Nothobranchius furzeri: one gene and its partner. The protein of the gene in region 1 purifies or fractionates together with the protein of each later gene. This does not show direct contact. Links are inferred from orthologs where the notes say so. Each region holds a gene or a part of one and is shown on either strand. Other genes may lie near its edges.

Region 1 (8,040 bases):
TTGAAGGAGCTCAGGATGTGCTGAAGAGGAAGCAGATAGAGGAGGAAGAGTAGAGGCCCCAGCACAGATCCTTGTGGGACACCATGGGTAAGGGGTGGTGGTGGAGGGCCTAAACTTGGAGACGGCCACAGAAAAGGAGCGCTCAGAGAGATAAGAGGAGAACCACTCCAGAGCAGATCCTGATAGGCCTACCCAGTCTCTGAGCCTCTCTAGGAGCAGGTGATGGTCAACAGTGTCAAAGGCTGAAGGAGAGATGCTAGATCTAACCTTATTGATTTTGTCCACAAAGAAAGACAGAAAGTTCTCACAGTCTGTAACAGAGAGGATGGAGGCTGTAGGAGAGACAGGAGAGACGATGCTGCTGATGGTGTTAAACAGCACCTTGGGGTTCCCTTTGCTCTGGGACACCAGGTTGGAGAAATAGGAAACCCTAGCATCTCTGACTGCAGAGTTAAAGGATGTCAGAAGATCCTTTAGGTGCAGCAGATGGACGTGGTTCACTGCAGGAACTTATCTGGTTCTGACAGGACAGATGTTGTCCAGAATGGAGAGGCAGTGCTGGTTAAGCTGAGAAGTTAAGGAATCTGGGTCGTTATCAGAAGAACAGGGTGGATCAAAAGCAGCAGAAAAATGTCTAGCTGTGCTCTCATTAAGAAAACGATAACCAACCATACGGCGAGCAGGAGGTGGGGATGCAGAAAGGGACAAGTTAAAGAAAATGCAATGGTGATATTAAATATAAACATCCTCAGGACAAACACTGCAAGTCATCTCATGTCTGAAAGAGTTTGCACCATGGAATGTATAAACGTGAGTGAGATATAGGTCTGAATAAGGGAAATGTAAACATAAATGATTTTTGGTATTACGCCAGTTTTATTTTTAATTATATTTTCTCTGTTTTATAATCAGAGGTTGCCCCCTGCTGGCCACAGGACAGAGTGCACTGGCTTCAGTTTAATAACTCAACACATTTTCAATATAAATTCACACAGGAAGTGTTGATAATAATATGGATTAAAGCCTGTTTTGTCTGCAGACACAAAACACAGTTTGACAGCAAACTACTAAAGCTTCTCTGAGCTGCTATAATGCAAAATTATCTTCTCAGAGCTCTTTTGAGATAAAAATTAAATACACCAACATGCATTTTCAGATAGCAAGTATATCCTGACAGAAAAATATAGAAATACATGGTCATACCATGTTTTCTTGGATAATTTATCATAAATGACCTCAATTTTGACTAGAAAATACATTTTGCATTAAAAAAATGTCTGAATGGTTTTATTACAACAATAAACTCATTAGTAAGGATTTACCAAGGTGATAAATCTAGTTAGAATGATTAGCCTAATGAATTAGACCAAATTCTTGCTTTGCAAAAGTTGTTTATATATTCACATATATAGGATGGCTTTGCAGGCAAGAGGAGGTTGGTATTTGTGTTTTCTTTTTCTTGTTGTAGCTATTATGTCGCCCCCTGCTGGTTGTGATAAAGAATGCCGGTAGATCAAACCTCAGTGACTTCAAGTTCCCACTTCGACATTTTTCTATTAAATTGTGTGTTTCATGCTAAAATAATATAATTATGATTATTTTTCAAAAGAGAAAATGTTCTATCAATCAGATCTGATACAATCCCGTAGTTTTGTACTGCAATTCATGGGCAGAACAGTTTGTGATGCGAGGCAAGGCAGCTTTCATACACAGAGGCAATTAAATGTGCTTTCCATTAGCAGCAATAGCATGAACATTAAAATCAATGCGACAGCACAATTAAAAAAACACAATTTAATTTCAGATTCAAGAATTCAAAAAGACAAAGTTAAAGGGTGAGCAGTTCCAGGGCAGAAGGTGCATTCAAATGCTGATGAATACACAAAGGTTTTCAACTTTGATTAAAAAGTTACAAGAGTTGGGGAACATTTGAGGTTATGAGGAATCCGATTCCATCTGTGTGCAGCAAAGTAGCTGAACACAGCTTTGCCCTATTTGGTTCTGACCCGAAGTTCTACAAGCTGATCTCAGAGCCCTGCCAGGCGTATGGGAGGAGATCTGACATGTATTTTGGCCCCATGCCATTGAGTGATTTATAAACTAGTAGAAGCACTTTCCAGTGAATTCTGTAGTTTACTGGTAAACAGTGTAGTGAGGACAGATTTTTAAAATGTTTCTTTTATATTTATTTCTTCATTTCTTCTAGCCCAGACTGATCCTCTCGCCCACAGCCATCTTTTGCCTTTCTGTGTTTTATCTTTATGCTTGTGGGAGAATATGCTTTGGCTGGGGGAGGTGTTGCCGAAGGGAAATCTGTGTCTTGCGTTACTTCAACTCAGCAGCCTGTTTTAAAATGCTGCTGAGGTTTATTCTGCATGTGAACCATTGAAGGACAGCCTCGGAGAAATTCCTTTTGATGTGCAACACAACAGAGTATAAATAGATCACACAAAAGACAGACTGGTGCCAGCCCACTGTTTACTGAGAAAAAGGGAAGACTTCATCTTGAGGTAAGAGACTTTCACTCTGTTTGGGATGAGTAATAGTTTCACTCTGAGAAACAAAAACTGGTTTTCCATTACAGAACTAATCCTGATGAATTTATATGGTCATTAACAAATCACATATTTGACTGTGCCATCTTTCTCTCTAAAGGCCTCATACCAACTTTCATGCACAGTAGAGGGGGTGTGATGTTTGGAGTTTTCTTGCAACCAAAAGATCATGGCACAGTAGCAGCCAGACGTGAGGTTGTCTTTAAAAATGTCAAAGTATCCCAGAGTCTAATGTGGGATCTTCCACCACACAGCTGAACTTTTCCTTTTGACATATAACGGAGGCATGCACTGATGATTGTGATACTGAAGCTGCACGGACCTCCTGTAGTTCAGGGTCACGAGAGATACGTGTAATCCCTTTTAACCTACCGCAGCTTTATAAATACTTTACATATCATATCAGTTACAAATATCAATTCAGTATTTGCCAAAAATCTAATTATTTGGCTCATTTGACTGCATACGTTAAAAACTTATAAGCACTTCATATTTTAAGACTTAAACTATAGCTTGGACAATTTTCATGCAGAACCTCTCTAAAAAGTTATACTGAAGGGAAACTTACAACTAAAATTGGAAAAACTGAGCAATAAATTTACTTGATTTGCCCGAGGGTCGCGTGGGAAAGAGAAAAAAAACGTGTCCATGAAAGGCAAGGGGGGTAGGCTTTTGTAACTAACATAGCAACAGTGCTGCATGACCACCGGTGCTCTGTGACAGCTGGGGCATTTTGAACTGACAGCCGGTTTTTTTTTTAGCTCCATTGGTCGAAAAAGCCATCAATCCCGGTGGTTGCTCCGCCCCTTACCCCCCTTCAAGGCATGGAAAAGTCTTTGAAGTCATGAGGGCGGAGCTGAACAAATAATGCCATGTGGTGCTCAACACCTGCGTTTCTATTGGTCCACTGCGCCGGGGAAACGCCTTTTTCTGAAGGATCCCATCTCTGATTGGTTGACCATGCCGCCCCAGTTTTAGCGTAAGCGCGTTCACGTTTTTTTAAATTCTCGGTCACGAGTTACGTAAATAGCGTGAACTTCTTACGGTGATGGTGGAGCTAGCTTGGAAACCCTTTACAGAAACAGCGTACGTTACATGCGCAGCGACAAAGACTGCGAGCCCGAAACCTATGGGGAAGAAATAAAAAAAGACATTCGGTATCGTCGCACTCTGTACCTTGAGACCGTTATTTTTCGAGAAGCTAGCCGCCCCAGAGCCTCGGTTGTGACGCCGAAATTTGACGACGACGAAACCGGATTCAGTGTTGGTTTGAAGTCGTTAATTCGTTAAAGAGGACTGTGACGACTGGCAATTTTTCCGTTGGACGGTCTGTAGGCTTGGGTATAGCGGGAGCCGCCATGGCAGTCGGGTCATTGAGCCTCCACATCGGGATATGAAGAGGAACTGCATGTGTCCTGAGTCGTCGAGAAAACGACACGTTTGTCTTTGGTCCACGTTGGATTAACATCCGAGCCAACCCTCCTTCATAATTGTGGAATTCATACGGAAAATAATCGTTTTTTTAGCAGGGGCCACAGGGAGAGGCCAGATTCATGACTATTTTAGACGGAGAGTCTTCTGAGGCCCGTTGAAATAAATCCTGGAGTTTAAGAAGGAAATATTTTCTGATTGACCGTTGTTGGGAAAGAAAGGACTGTTTCAAACGAATTGATTTTTAAAAGAACAAAAAGTAACGCAAGGTACCGTAGGATAAAAAGGGGGTCTCTTTCTGCCTGCCCTTCCTGTGGATCACAGATACATATTCATTTACTGTCAATCCTTTTTTGGATGAGAAGGATCGGTGAATCGATCAGCTCTTCCGTTTAGTCAAAGCCTCCCAGTCGAGAGAATCAAAGGGATTGGATCATGTCGGGTCGGCCCAGGACCACATCTTTCGCCGAAAGCTGCAAACCAGTGCCGCAGCCCTCTGCTTTCGGCAGCATGAAAGTCAGCCGTGAGTACACCTCTGATTCTACAGTGACTTTTCTCAGCACGTACCAGGCCTAGTCAGTCTGGACAACACGCACCCCGCTAACAACCCTCTCATAAAAGGTTGGACCTGACAGAAATATGCTCACACCGCCCCTGTGCCGCTCACCGCTGCACTCTGACGTACCGCTCCGGAGCCGGTCAGCCTAGTAGGCCGCGCCGGAGCAGGGCAGGGCCGCCACGGGGCTTGGGGGGCGAGTGTTGGCACCGGCCCAGTTCAGAAACCATGCCTTCTCCAATTACTGCAAAATCCGGTCTAATTATTGTATAACTGACTTTAGATTGGATCGCAGAGCATTACTACACAGCACCAATCCTATGCATAACGGAGTTAAAGCGATGGGGCTGGTTTATTACGCAAATGGAAGGTGCGCCCATCGTTGACTCATGCGAAATTGACCAGCTCCTAGATAGACCTAAGCTAAACGAGCCCTCTTCATGATGACAAGCTGATCGCAGATGCCAATGCCCTCTGGCTAGAAAGTCTGGCACCTTTTAGCTCTCATTTACGGCATCTGCGACAATTTTATAGCATCCTAAATTACTCTTATCCACCACCTGCACAATTCTCCCCAATTTAAACACTATAGTTAGAAAAAAATAGCAATTTTGTACTACAGTTTCCAGATACTACTAATTTAATGTTTAATGTCTTCATTTAAAAAAGCAAATCTCTACTTATTTGAAGTAATAGCTTACATTTCAATACCTTGACACAATTCACAGCAGCTGCACCCATGTTCCACCTTTTTGCTCGTTTAGGTGTGTGAAAGGGGAAAAAGTGAACGTGTTATGGAATGTGGATGGTGCTTCGGGCTGTGATGTGATCAGGATGTGTGTGAGCAGTGTTTAGGCCTGAGGCTCACTATTGGGTCTCGGTTCTGGAAACCACTTAATGGATTATGACACACAAAGAAGAAAATGCACTCCAGTCCCAAACCTAACACTTGTTGTGCATCATATACATGCATGAGTGTTTAAGAGCTTCCTGTTAGTGTGTCCAAAATGAAAAACAGTATTGTCAAGGGGTATTTGCCAGTAAACGAGTTGACTGTATGAGGATTCCTGTTGTCACAATGTAAAGCTTATTGTAAAACATATTTGTACTATTAGCTGTATTTTTCTTTCAACAGGTCTGTCTGGTAAATCAACGTAGAAACTAGGGATGTAAGAAAATATTAATATGGCAATATATGGTGATATTATTTTACAGCGATATATCGATATTCAATATATGGTGATATTATTTTACAGCGATATATCGATATTCAAAAGCTTTGTATCAATTTTTTGGAAGAATTTACATTCTTACATTCAGTACATTTGTGTATTTTCTTTTCTTTTGGTGCAGTTCAATCACCGACTGCTGGTTGGCAGCAGTGTGCAATGGGCTTTGTTTCCTCCGTTGACTTGTAACCCCCAAATTCCACTACCTCCGCTCCGGTCCGCCCCCGCCCTCCGCTGCCGCTCGCTTCCGAACTCAATTTTTACTGCTACCCGCTCTACAACGGCTCCGCTCCGGTGCGGAGACCTGAGGTGGGCAAATAAGCATGCGCGGGATTTTCGAGATCTTGCGATACAGTCCGAGCAATAAACGCGGAAGTTAGATCCAAACACCCGTTGTGTGGGAGAAGCATCGACATGAACTGTTTAATCTGCCTATCATTTGTGTTGAGAGATCAGCAGTGTTTGGATCAACAAAGTGTGACTACTTTGATAGTGGAAACTGTATTTATGGCTTACTTTTGTGCATTTAAACTTCAGCCGCCACTGATAGTTGTTAAAAGTTGTTAAACTTGTGCATATGAAAGAAAAAACGCCTTTTGTTTATCGATGTATTGTGAAAAACGGAAGTTGTGCCCGCTCCTTTTCCTGTTGGACGGTTGTGATTTCTGTCCATTTACTGCGGAGGTGCTCCGGCGTCCGGCGAAAATAGGATCGATTCTTTTTTTGCCGGAACAGAGGACGGCGCCGCACTGCCGGAGCACGGCCGCAGTAGTGGAATTGCTCTGATTGACTAAAACGGGACCGATTTTGCTCCGGCGTTCGTGTCGGAGCGCAGCGGAGCGGAGCGGAGGTAGTGGAATTTGGGGGTAAATCCCTCTGTCATTTTTCAGATACCTAATTTGAAACATGTTAAGTATCAGTTTGGTCTGTTGAATTTTCCTTTAATAGATTCAGTCGAAAAAAATCGCCAATATCGTCTGACTGAATGTATCGCAAATATATCGCGATATAGTGTATTGTCTCTCCTGTATCGTGATACGTATCGTATTGCCAGAATTTCACCAATACAAATCCCTAGTAGAAACCATTCATGAGATATGTGTGTTTGGTTTTGGCTTCTTTTCATTGCTGTCGTAATAACAAATTTAAAATTGGGCTATTGTGACTTTCTTTAGATACAATTTGGTCATTTTTTGCTTTAGACTTGATGAACAATGTTCAGACCATTTTAGTGCTCTTAAAGATCAGACGCACTATCATAAGGATTGTCAGCATATCAGTTAATAATGAAGACAAATGGGGCTGAGCAATAAATCGAAAATGTATCACTATCAAAATTTCAGAATCTAACCAATTTCCTTTTCCCATGTCAATAAATGTGATAATAATAAAAATGAAAAGATGTGTGTAGTTTGGCGACGTTCAACTTAACACACGTGACAGCCCCATCTAGTGGACAACTTTTTATTTCTGCGCTTACATGTAGTTATCGTTTATTTATCATTATTGAGGTGAAATCCTAAATATATTGTGATATTTATTTGAGGCCATATTGCCCAGCCCTAAAGCCAAAAAATACCATCCATCCATTTTCATCTACTTATCAGAGGTCGGGCCACTGGACCAGCAGCCTAAGCAGAGAAGCCCAGGTTGGAATATGGACTGACCGGTAAATTAAGAACTTTCGACTCAGCTCTCCAATCCTCTCGTTTGAAACGCCTGGACCTCATCTTATAAAAATATCTGCCAAATACTCATTTTTAGGTTTATTACTGTAAAATTTGGTGTGTGACGAGGAAAGATTTCAGACTATTGACACACAATGTTTTCCAGTAGATATCTCATTACTGATGTTATTTTTAAAGTGTGTATTTAAAAAAAAAATTATCGACAATAAAAATTAATATTTTTCTGGACATTAAAGCCCATAATACTCTGACATTATCACTTACATACATTTTCACTGTTGTGGGGAAAACTTCAGAGTGTTTACTTTAAAAGGATTACCTCAACCATGCCTCAAGTCCAAATGGTACGATAGCTTTTATTCAAATTCGGTTATTCTTTTTCTAAAGCCTCTTGGGCTGTAATGGCAGGAATGTTACTCCTCCAACTGAGGCAGGACCTCGTCCCTGACCTGTAGAAGGCATTCTACCCTTTTCAGACTCAAGACCATGGTCTCAGATTTAGAGGAGCTGATTGTCATCGCAGTTGTTAGCTGCTTCACACTCGGCTGCAAACTGCTGCAGCGAGAGCTGGAGATCACAGT
Region 2 (7,866 bases), on another chromosome or scaffold:
TCTTCACTGATGCCACCGGTGCCATGTCGTCTGCATACTTATACAGGGCCATTCTCTCACTCTGGCACCGGATGTTGTTTGTGTAGACTGAGAAAAGCACTGGAGACAAAACTCAGCCTTGTGGCAGTCCAATGCTAATGACACTTTCCGTGGATTTAAATCCTCTTAAAAACACTTGTTGTGGCCTGTCTTTCAAAAAGTTGTTGATCCATAAAAGCAGCGTTGTGTGGAGATGGAGATAGATTCAAGGATTTGTGAGGTCAACAGCACTTTCCCTCCCTGAAACGCATTTCCTTGCAAACATGACACAACGTGACTCGCTGTAGCTCTATGTTGCACAACAAGAATCCGTGCAGATTTGGACACAGCCGAGCCTCCGGCTGAAGACCCTTTCACTTGTGGCTTCATGAAGACTTTGTGACTCAAGAGCACGCGCCCTGTGGCGGTGAAAAATCAGCCCATGGGATGTTTGATCCAGAGCCTCTTGCGTTTCAGACGCTCATATTTGTCTTCAGATGGGATTTAACTTTTTGATCCAAAAGGAAACGTTAAAACCTGAAGTCGTTTATTTTGATTGTTTCTATCAGGCAGTTGTACTGGACCTTTAAAACTGTTGAGTTTCATGTTGCTCATGTTTTACTGAAAACAGCATGGTGATGGTGAGTGTGTTACTTTCTGATTCATGTAGCGACATGCTGTCTATCTGAACATCTTTGATGTGTGACCCACAGGAGGGACTGGGACTGGAGCTGATGACAGGACTGGTACAGACATCCAACACCACAGACAAATAGACCAATAACAATAGACCCACCTTCCTCCACCTCTCTCCCTCTGCAAGCTTTTCTCTTTTCGGAGATCTTCATCTCTTTCTTTCTGCTCCCTTTGACCATATATGGTAGGAAGTTAAAGCAAGAGCTCATTGGTGGATGGGAGACCGGGTGCAGGTATTACCTTGTTTGGAGTGAATCATCATACCTGGGACCTTGTGTTGTTTGATGCTGACGGGAGGTTGTGATTAAAGCCACATAAACGTGAAGGTGAGAGGTTTAAGGACACGGTCTGAGGTGTTGGCCTGTGTTTGTGTCCTCCGCGTGGCCTGGTAGGAGTTTTGTTTCATGTTTCCACACAGCAGCAGCAACAGCACTGCCACGCCCCGGCTTCTCTTTAGCAAGATGGTGAGGAAATTCTTCATTCCTGCAAATTTAACACACATCTACTGGCTCTTTAACATCACATTAGCCTCCCAGCTTTGTGGTTGTGTGTGTCTGAGGTGTGTTGTATTTTTGCAGAGGGCAACTTTAGCATAAAAACCTCACATTAACTCCAGACAAATCTCTAGTCCCATTTAAATCACTTTTAGACAAATGATCCAGCTTTAACACTTTTTAGAGAGTGACAGAACCTACACTGTCAAGAAAGTCTCGACATTCCTTGCAGGACCTCACATGTCAGAGATTTAGGCCTAGTCCACACGTAGCCGTTTAAAAAAAAAAACGAACATCCGTCCCTCCAAAAACTTGCATCCACACCACCTCGTTTTAAAAAAAACTCTGTCCACACGTACCCGGATAAATACGTTGTTAAGGACATGCCAGACCTGTAGGGGGCAGTACTTCCCCCGTTCTTAACCTCGTCCTTCGTCTGTGGTCTTCCGCAAGGAGCAGTAATTCCGCTTGCAAAAACAAACAAGCAAAAAGCGCTTGGACAATTGATAAAGCGAGCGCAGCTCTGAGGGCATCCATGCTGTCGGCTAGTGTAAACACAGGTCGCACACGTGATGTCAGCATTTTTTTGTCGTGGAAAGTGACGTTGCGGACCTTAAAACTCCGGTTTTGTCTGTCCACACGCAGACACCCAAAACGGAGAAAACGCAGATCTTCACTTTGGCCGGAGTTTTTAAAAAGATCCGTTTTCGTGTGAAAGAAAAATATCTATGTTTTGGCAGATCCCCGGCTACGTGTGGACAGGGCCTTAGACAGAGATCCTCAAAAGTGATGGTGTAATACCAATGCCCTATACACTGGCGCTACTGGCTACTGATGCGGGTGGTGGTCTTTACGTGTGTTTAAAAGAATTGCAGCTTGTGTTTATTTCCGATGATGTTCATTATTTCGTCTTGTTCCACAAATGTCCACGATCCTTTCACAGCAGTTAAAGTGGTTTACAGTGAATGCGTTACTTGCCCCAATGACAGTCCGCAGGGTCCTTTACACCCAGCCGCAGTCCTCGCCACACAATAAAAAACTGTTTGTGCCATCACAGCAACACCAGAGTCTAATCTGTGTTGGCTTAAGTAGGCTGGTGCTTCCACAATCAATTTGACCAATCAAATGAGGCCAAGCCTCCTCTCATGTATGCAGAAAGAAAATGAAAGACCCATATGGCTCCTACAGATGGACTTGCATCCATTTGGTCCAACCTTGAAGATGGCACGATCCTACATACCAAGATCTTAAACAACTAGCACTCACACCATCTGTTGTGCACGACTCTCAGCTGCTAATGTGAATATTTAGCTCTGAGGTAGTGCTGTTTGTGCGGCAGCCATGTTATCTCAGTTTCAGCAGAGATTCAGCTAACAGACAAGCAAACTGGGACAGATGAGTCTGAAATGGATCTTTTTGTAGAACAACGATCGGGAACATTGAGGTGGAGCAGTAGGAGATTATGTAGAGGATTAGCTCTTCTGCAGAAATCTTTCATTGCGAAAAAAGCTAACCCGAGTCTTTTATTTTGATCATTGGCGGTTTTAAACAGGGGCCTGGGCCCCTATAGAACTGGCCCTGGCCCCTGTTATGGCCCCTGTGCTGAAGAGATCGGATTTTTCCCCCCGCGCTGCCTCGGAGACGGGAACTAATGCGCTGCAGCGTTTCACACGGAGCCTTTAGAGTGCAGCACACTCTGTGGACAGAACTGTTTACCCGGTGGATTTTTGAATAAAAGATTAAGAATAGTTTAAATGGGACCCAAAGAAATTCTTGAGGACAACTAACGGAAAAGACGCTGAGAGACGAAGGCAAGCAATACAGTTTATTTTCCTGACATCAATGAATTTCCTTTGGCAAAATTGTGTACAAGCACAAAATTAGTCATATGGCGACGACAAAAAAGAATTTTGATATTGCCCTAATTTTCCCCTTTTTTTTCTTGCGCCCCCATGAAAAAATACTGGCCCCACTGTGGCCCCCCTGGAAAATTTGGCCTAGAACCGCCCCTGATTTTGATATTTGGAATTGATGGACTAGTTAGAACCCCATAAACAGAACGGTGTCAGAGCTTCCAGCTGTTGCAGATGTTTCTATGTGGACTCCATCAGAAAGGTTAAGAGTTTTAAATACTGGGACTGACTTTTTAAATGTATGCCCGTTAAAAAAAAAAACTTTTTTGAGGAATTTTTGCGCAGTACGAATGTCACAAATCACCATAAATTAAATTAAGCATTTTTGATAAAACGAAACCACGTTTTTGAAGCCCATTGGGAACCGGAAAAACGGGCTCGCTGGTTTTTTATTCCCCTTTCTGTCTCATTTGAATATTCGGTGTGTGTTTCGGTGCATAGAGGTGTGTTTATACACTGGAGGTAATCATTCAGCTGCATTTATCTGGCAACACGTAATTTGTTTCCGTGTTTTGTGATTTATTACATTCACCAACGCGTCTAAAAGTAAGTTAAAAGTGAGAGTTAAAAGCACCCCTGTGCAGAAATCCCTTCCGTGCTCCGTGATGCCATTGAAAGCAGCGCGCGCAGCCGCCGACAGGTGGGCGTGGCCACGAGCTCACCTGAGAAGTGATAAAAAGTGAGCAGCTGAGCGGCGCGCGGAGTCCATCCGGGCTAAAGTCGGGCTCCGAACAGTTAGACGGGCTCTCTTGGCTCTAGGGGACACCGATCGAGACGTCAGCCGGAACCGAGAGCAGAGACGGAACCAGGAAGAACTCAGCTGCTGAGATCCAGGTGAGTGGGTTTCTTCTCCTGCAGGAGGGACATTTAAATATGGGGATTTCTGCAGCTCACCTGCTCCAGGTGTTCTGGTCAGAGGATGTTTAGAGCCAACAACCCTTTTTTTAACCGTTTCAGCTAAATTTGGTGCAAACTTGAGATGAAAGAATTTATTTCACTTAACACCTAAAGTGACACCAGAAGATGCTGGTTTCTGGTTACTACAGGCATGTGTAGATTATGGGATGAGCATCAGTTTAGTCCTGAAATGAGCGGAGCCCAGTTCTGGTTCTGGTGCTCAGACAGCAAGCAGGGCTGGTCTGTGGCTTCAGTTATCTACAATCAGTGACGGACTTCCTCAGCCAGGCCGGGTTCAGGCCGAGCCTGACTTCTGTGAAATGAGTCTTCCTCTTTAGGTTCATCATCACAAACAAGACCTGCTTCATTATAGTCTGCAGGGACAAGAGGACCTCACACCAGTCTTGTGTGTGTGTGTGTGTGTGTGTGTGTGTGTGTGCGTGCGGGCGAGCGTGTGCCAGGATAAGAAGCAGATTGGCAAACAGCCGAGATCAGTTCAGTGGTGATGCTGCAGAAAACGTGCCAAGGAGCACAAAGGATTAGCGGTGCAGACCGTGCACACACCCTTAGCAGACTGCAGCAGCTCCTTTAGTCGTTTCAAAGAGCTGCGGGAGAGTTTGTGTAACTTCCTGCAGAAGTTAGTTCAGCAGCAGCAAAACCACAAACCCTCATGAAGCATCACAAGTTCTCACACAGATGAAGCGTTTCTGGGTCGGTGCTGGTGATCTGGACGCTGCAGGATGTCAGTCCTCTCCCTCTGATCTCCAAGAGTCTGAGCTCATAATGAACTTAAGGGAGACACAGATGACACCCTGTGCACTGATCCCTTTATCCCTCACTCTATAAACACACACAGACACACACTCTTTCATCATCCATACGTGGAAGTAGCTCATCTGAATAAATATTTGTTCTCCAAGGACCCAGCTGACCGTCCAGAACATAGAATTTTATCTGATGTGGGGCTGGAGGGGTTGTAAGGGTGTGGTCTGGATATGGCATGTGCCCAGACCTGCTCCAACATTCCTCCACCTCCAAAGCACCAATCCAAGGGTCTCCATCAGAACCTTCTTACAGTTTGAACAGCAAACGCCAGGAACACGGAGCAGGACACAAAGGCTGCTCATTAGCTCTGGAAGTTTGAAAAGTGAACGGATGGTTGAAGATGACGATGAGGGGTTGGGAATTTGTGGAATTCTCTATAATGAGAAGGTGAAGAAGGAATGTCGTGGAAATGGAGAGGAAGAAGAGTCGTGTTGAAGACTTAAAAAGAGTAATTTAATGGACCTTAGCTGTGGAGCGTCATCTGTGTGGAGTGTTGTCTCATTCCAACCAGCTTTGGATAAAAGATGCTCCGTGTTCACTCAGAAGGATTCAGTGGAAAACTTCAAACAGCTGTTTTAGAAGATGTGTCCAAACCTGTCCCGTGCCTCCCGTGTTTGTGGATCGGAGTGCACACGCCTCAGCTCTGTGTGTACACGAGGAGCTCAAAGTCATTATATAAACTTGACACCTCAGGGTGATTTGAGTCTGCAGTAATAACAGCTCCCAGTATAGATACACCGAAGCTCTTCAGCTGTGCTAAATATGATTAATCCTCTGTTTCAACAGGCAACAGCCTCTCTAATGTAACAAAAACACTCGGCTAACAGGAAAACGACGGATAAAGCCGAACACGTCTGATTATTGGTGAGTCAGAATAGACCCAGAGCTAAGGCCATCTGCGCCCAGAGTCTCGGCCACAGCCACGTTGTTTCTGAGACCCTAAACGCTTAGCTCGTCCGAAAAGTCATTAGTGGTTGCAGAATGTCTGCGTTATGATCATATCTTTGATGCGGTCTCCTCCCACGCTCTCCTGTAGCAGAAATCTTCATCTAGATGCCGATTTGAATTAAAACCCCAGTCTGACCGCATCGCCAAGCAGCCCTGGTTCCTGCCTGAGCACGAATGTTTTTGTTCAGTCCCTCTGACTCATCAACATTTAGGGATTTATTTTCAGGAAACTGCAAAGTTCTGGTAATTTTAGATTTGAGATATGAAGCAATTTGATCTAATCACACACACAGAAACCTGGTGGCAAATTCCTGAGCGTCAGACGCCGGGTGGAGCATCGAGTAGATTTTACAATCAAATCTTCTTTTGAGAATCTAAAACTGCCTGAATTAAATAGAAATGGTGATTTTTGTGGTGTTCACGTGTAAAATTTATAAATAATGATCCTACCTGTTGTGTAGCTTCCTGAACAGCCTTTGTTTAGAGAAATGGAGTTTCTTTTTGGGACTGATGAGCTAACTACTAGTCTATTTTCTTTTGTCTTGACTCATCTGATTAAACTCTGTTTTGCGTCCTGCAGCCACCATGACTGATGCAGACAAGTTCCTGTATGGGGACCGCAGCGAGGTCAACAACCCCCTGGCTCAGGCCGACTGGGCCTCCAAGAAGCTGGTGTGGGTTCCCAGTGAGAAGGTGGGCTACGAAGCCGGCTCGCTGAAGGAGGAGCAGGGAGACGAGTGTGTGGTGGAGCTGTCGGACTCTGGCAAGAAGGTGAGGATCAAACCTCAATTTGTGTTTCTGGAGTCTTGTCTGCGGCAAATGGCAAACCTCCTGCTTGGTTATTTAAATCTTAGGTGAAGGTCAACAAAGATGATATCCAGAAAATGAATCCTCCCAAATTCAGCAAGGTGGAGGACATGGCAGAGCTCACCTGCCTGAACGAAGCCTCCGTGCTGCACAACCTGAAGGAGCGATACTACTCGGGACTCATCTACGTGAGTGTTCCGATCCGTTGCTGCTCACCGGATTCAGAGGTTCTCTCTAACGTTGCCATCCCGCTGTGATCCAGACGTACTCCGGTCTGTTCTGTGTGGTGATCAACCCCTACAAGAACCTGCCCATCTACAACGAGGAGATAGTCAACATGTACAAGGGCAAGAAGAGACATGAGATGCCCCCCCACATCTACGCCATCACAGACACGGCCTACAGGAGCATGATGCAGGGTGAGACGGCGTAAACCGCGCCCGTTATACATGATGTTACCGTTAGCTAACGACTGAACTTTAGCACATCTTCATCTTTCATGAACCGAAACTTCTCTCTCTAACAGATCGGGAGGATCAGTCCATCCTTTGCACGTAAGTCTCGTAAATTATCTTCTCAGCTCTTGTCAAAAGCTTCACGAACAGCCTCCGCTTGGTGAACTAGAGAATACGTTCTATGGGACTGATAAGCTAACGGCTAGTCTAAGAACAGCCAAGACTGGTGTACTTGTGCCTTTAAACAGTTTTCATGAGGTACTGTGAAAGATTTTTTTGGTGTGTTTTAAGAAGGTAGCAGTTCATGTTAGCGTAGCTATGCTAGGACTAGCCGTTAGCCATTTCTCCAAATTCCATCCAGGAAGATATTTATGATCAAGATTTTTTACTTTTCTGTTTTGGACATGGTTTTTAACATATTTTTATGATTTAATCCCCGCAGTGGGGAGTCTGGAGCCGGCAAAACGGAGAACACAAAGAAAGTCATTCAGTATCTTGCACACGTTGCTTCATCCAAGTCTAAAAAGGACCAGGTTAGTAAAACACAACTCGAGAGTGGAAATGCTCCATCGTGTGTGTGTGTGTGTGTGTTGTGTGTGTGTGTGTTGGAACATTCCTGTTTCAGGCCCAGACGTGCTGCATTTCCTAGTAAAGCAAAGTGTGTGTGTGTGTGTGTGTGCGCGTGTGTGCGTGTGTGTGTGTGTGTGTGTGTGTGTGTGTGCGTGTGTGTGTGTGTGTGCGTGTGTGTGTGTGTGTGTGTGTGTGTGCGTGCGCGTGTGTGTGCGCGTGCGTGTGTGCTACTACTCTAATGTG

The links. Proteins that work in one complex are often made in the same cells at the same time.
Region 2: the proteins of gsk3ba (region 1) and myosin-9 purify together in Homo sapiens (affinity purification with western blotting; 4 studies listed by BioGRID, with this or other methods). This does not show direct contact. The link is inferred for Nothobranchius furzeri from reciprocal best matches to the Homo sapiens genes GSK3B and MYH9.

Annotation. Positions count from the first base shown.
Region 1 is NC_091754.1:24,449,630-24,457,669, forward strand, and holds the start of gsk3ba (glycogen synthase kinase-3 beta), read left to right. Parts: upstream 1-3,614; 5' UTR 3,615-4,421; coding exon 4,422-4,509; intron 4,510-5,253; exon of another isoform or gene 5,254-5,959; intron 5,960-8,040. UniProt on the Homo sapiens protein: Constitutively active protein kinase that acts as a negative regulator in the hormonal control of glucose homeostasis, Wnt signaling and regulation of transcription factors and microtubules, by phosphorylating and inactivating glycogen synthase (GYS1 or GYS2), EIF2B, CTNNB1/beta-catenin, APC, AXIN1, DPYSL2/CRMP2, JUN, NFATC1/NFATC, MAPT/TAU and MACF1.
Region 2 is NC_091747.1:73,543,067-73,550,932, forward strand, and holds the start of myosin-9, read left to right. Parts: upstream 1-3,821; 5' UTR 3,822-3,955; intron 3,956-6,371; 5' UTR 6,372-6,376; coding exon 6,377-6,562; intron 6,563-6,645; coding exon 6,646-6,786; intron 6,787-6,860; coding exon 6,861-7,017; intron 7,018-7,124; coding exon 7,125-7,152; intron 7,153-7,495; coding exon 7,496-7,586; intron 7,587-7,866. UniProt on the Homo sapiens protein: Cellular myosin that appears to play a role in cytokinesis, cell shape, and specialized functions such as secretion and capping. Required for cortical actin clearance prior to oocyte exocytosis. Promotes cell motility in conjunction with S100A4.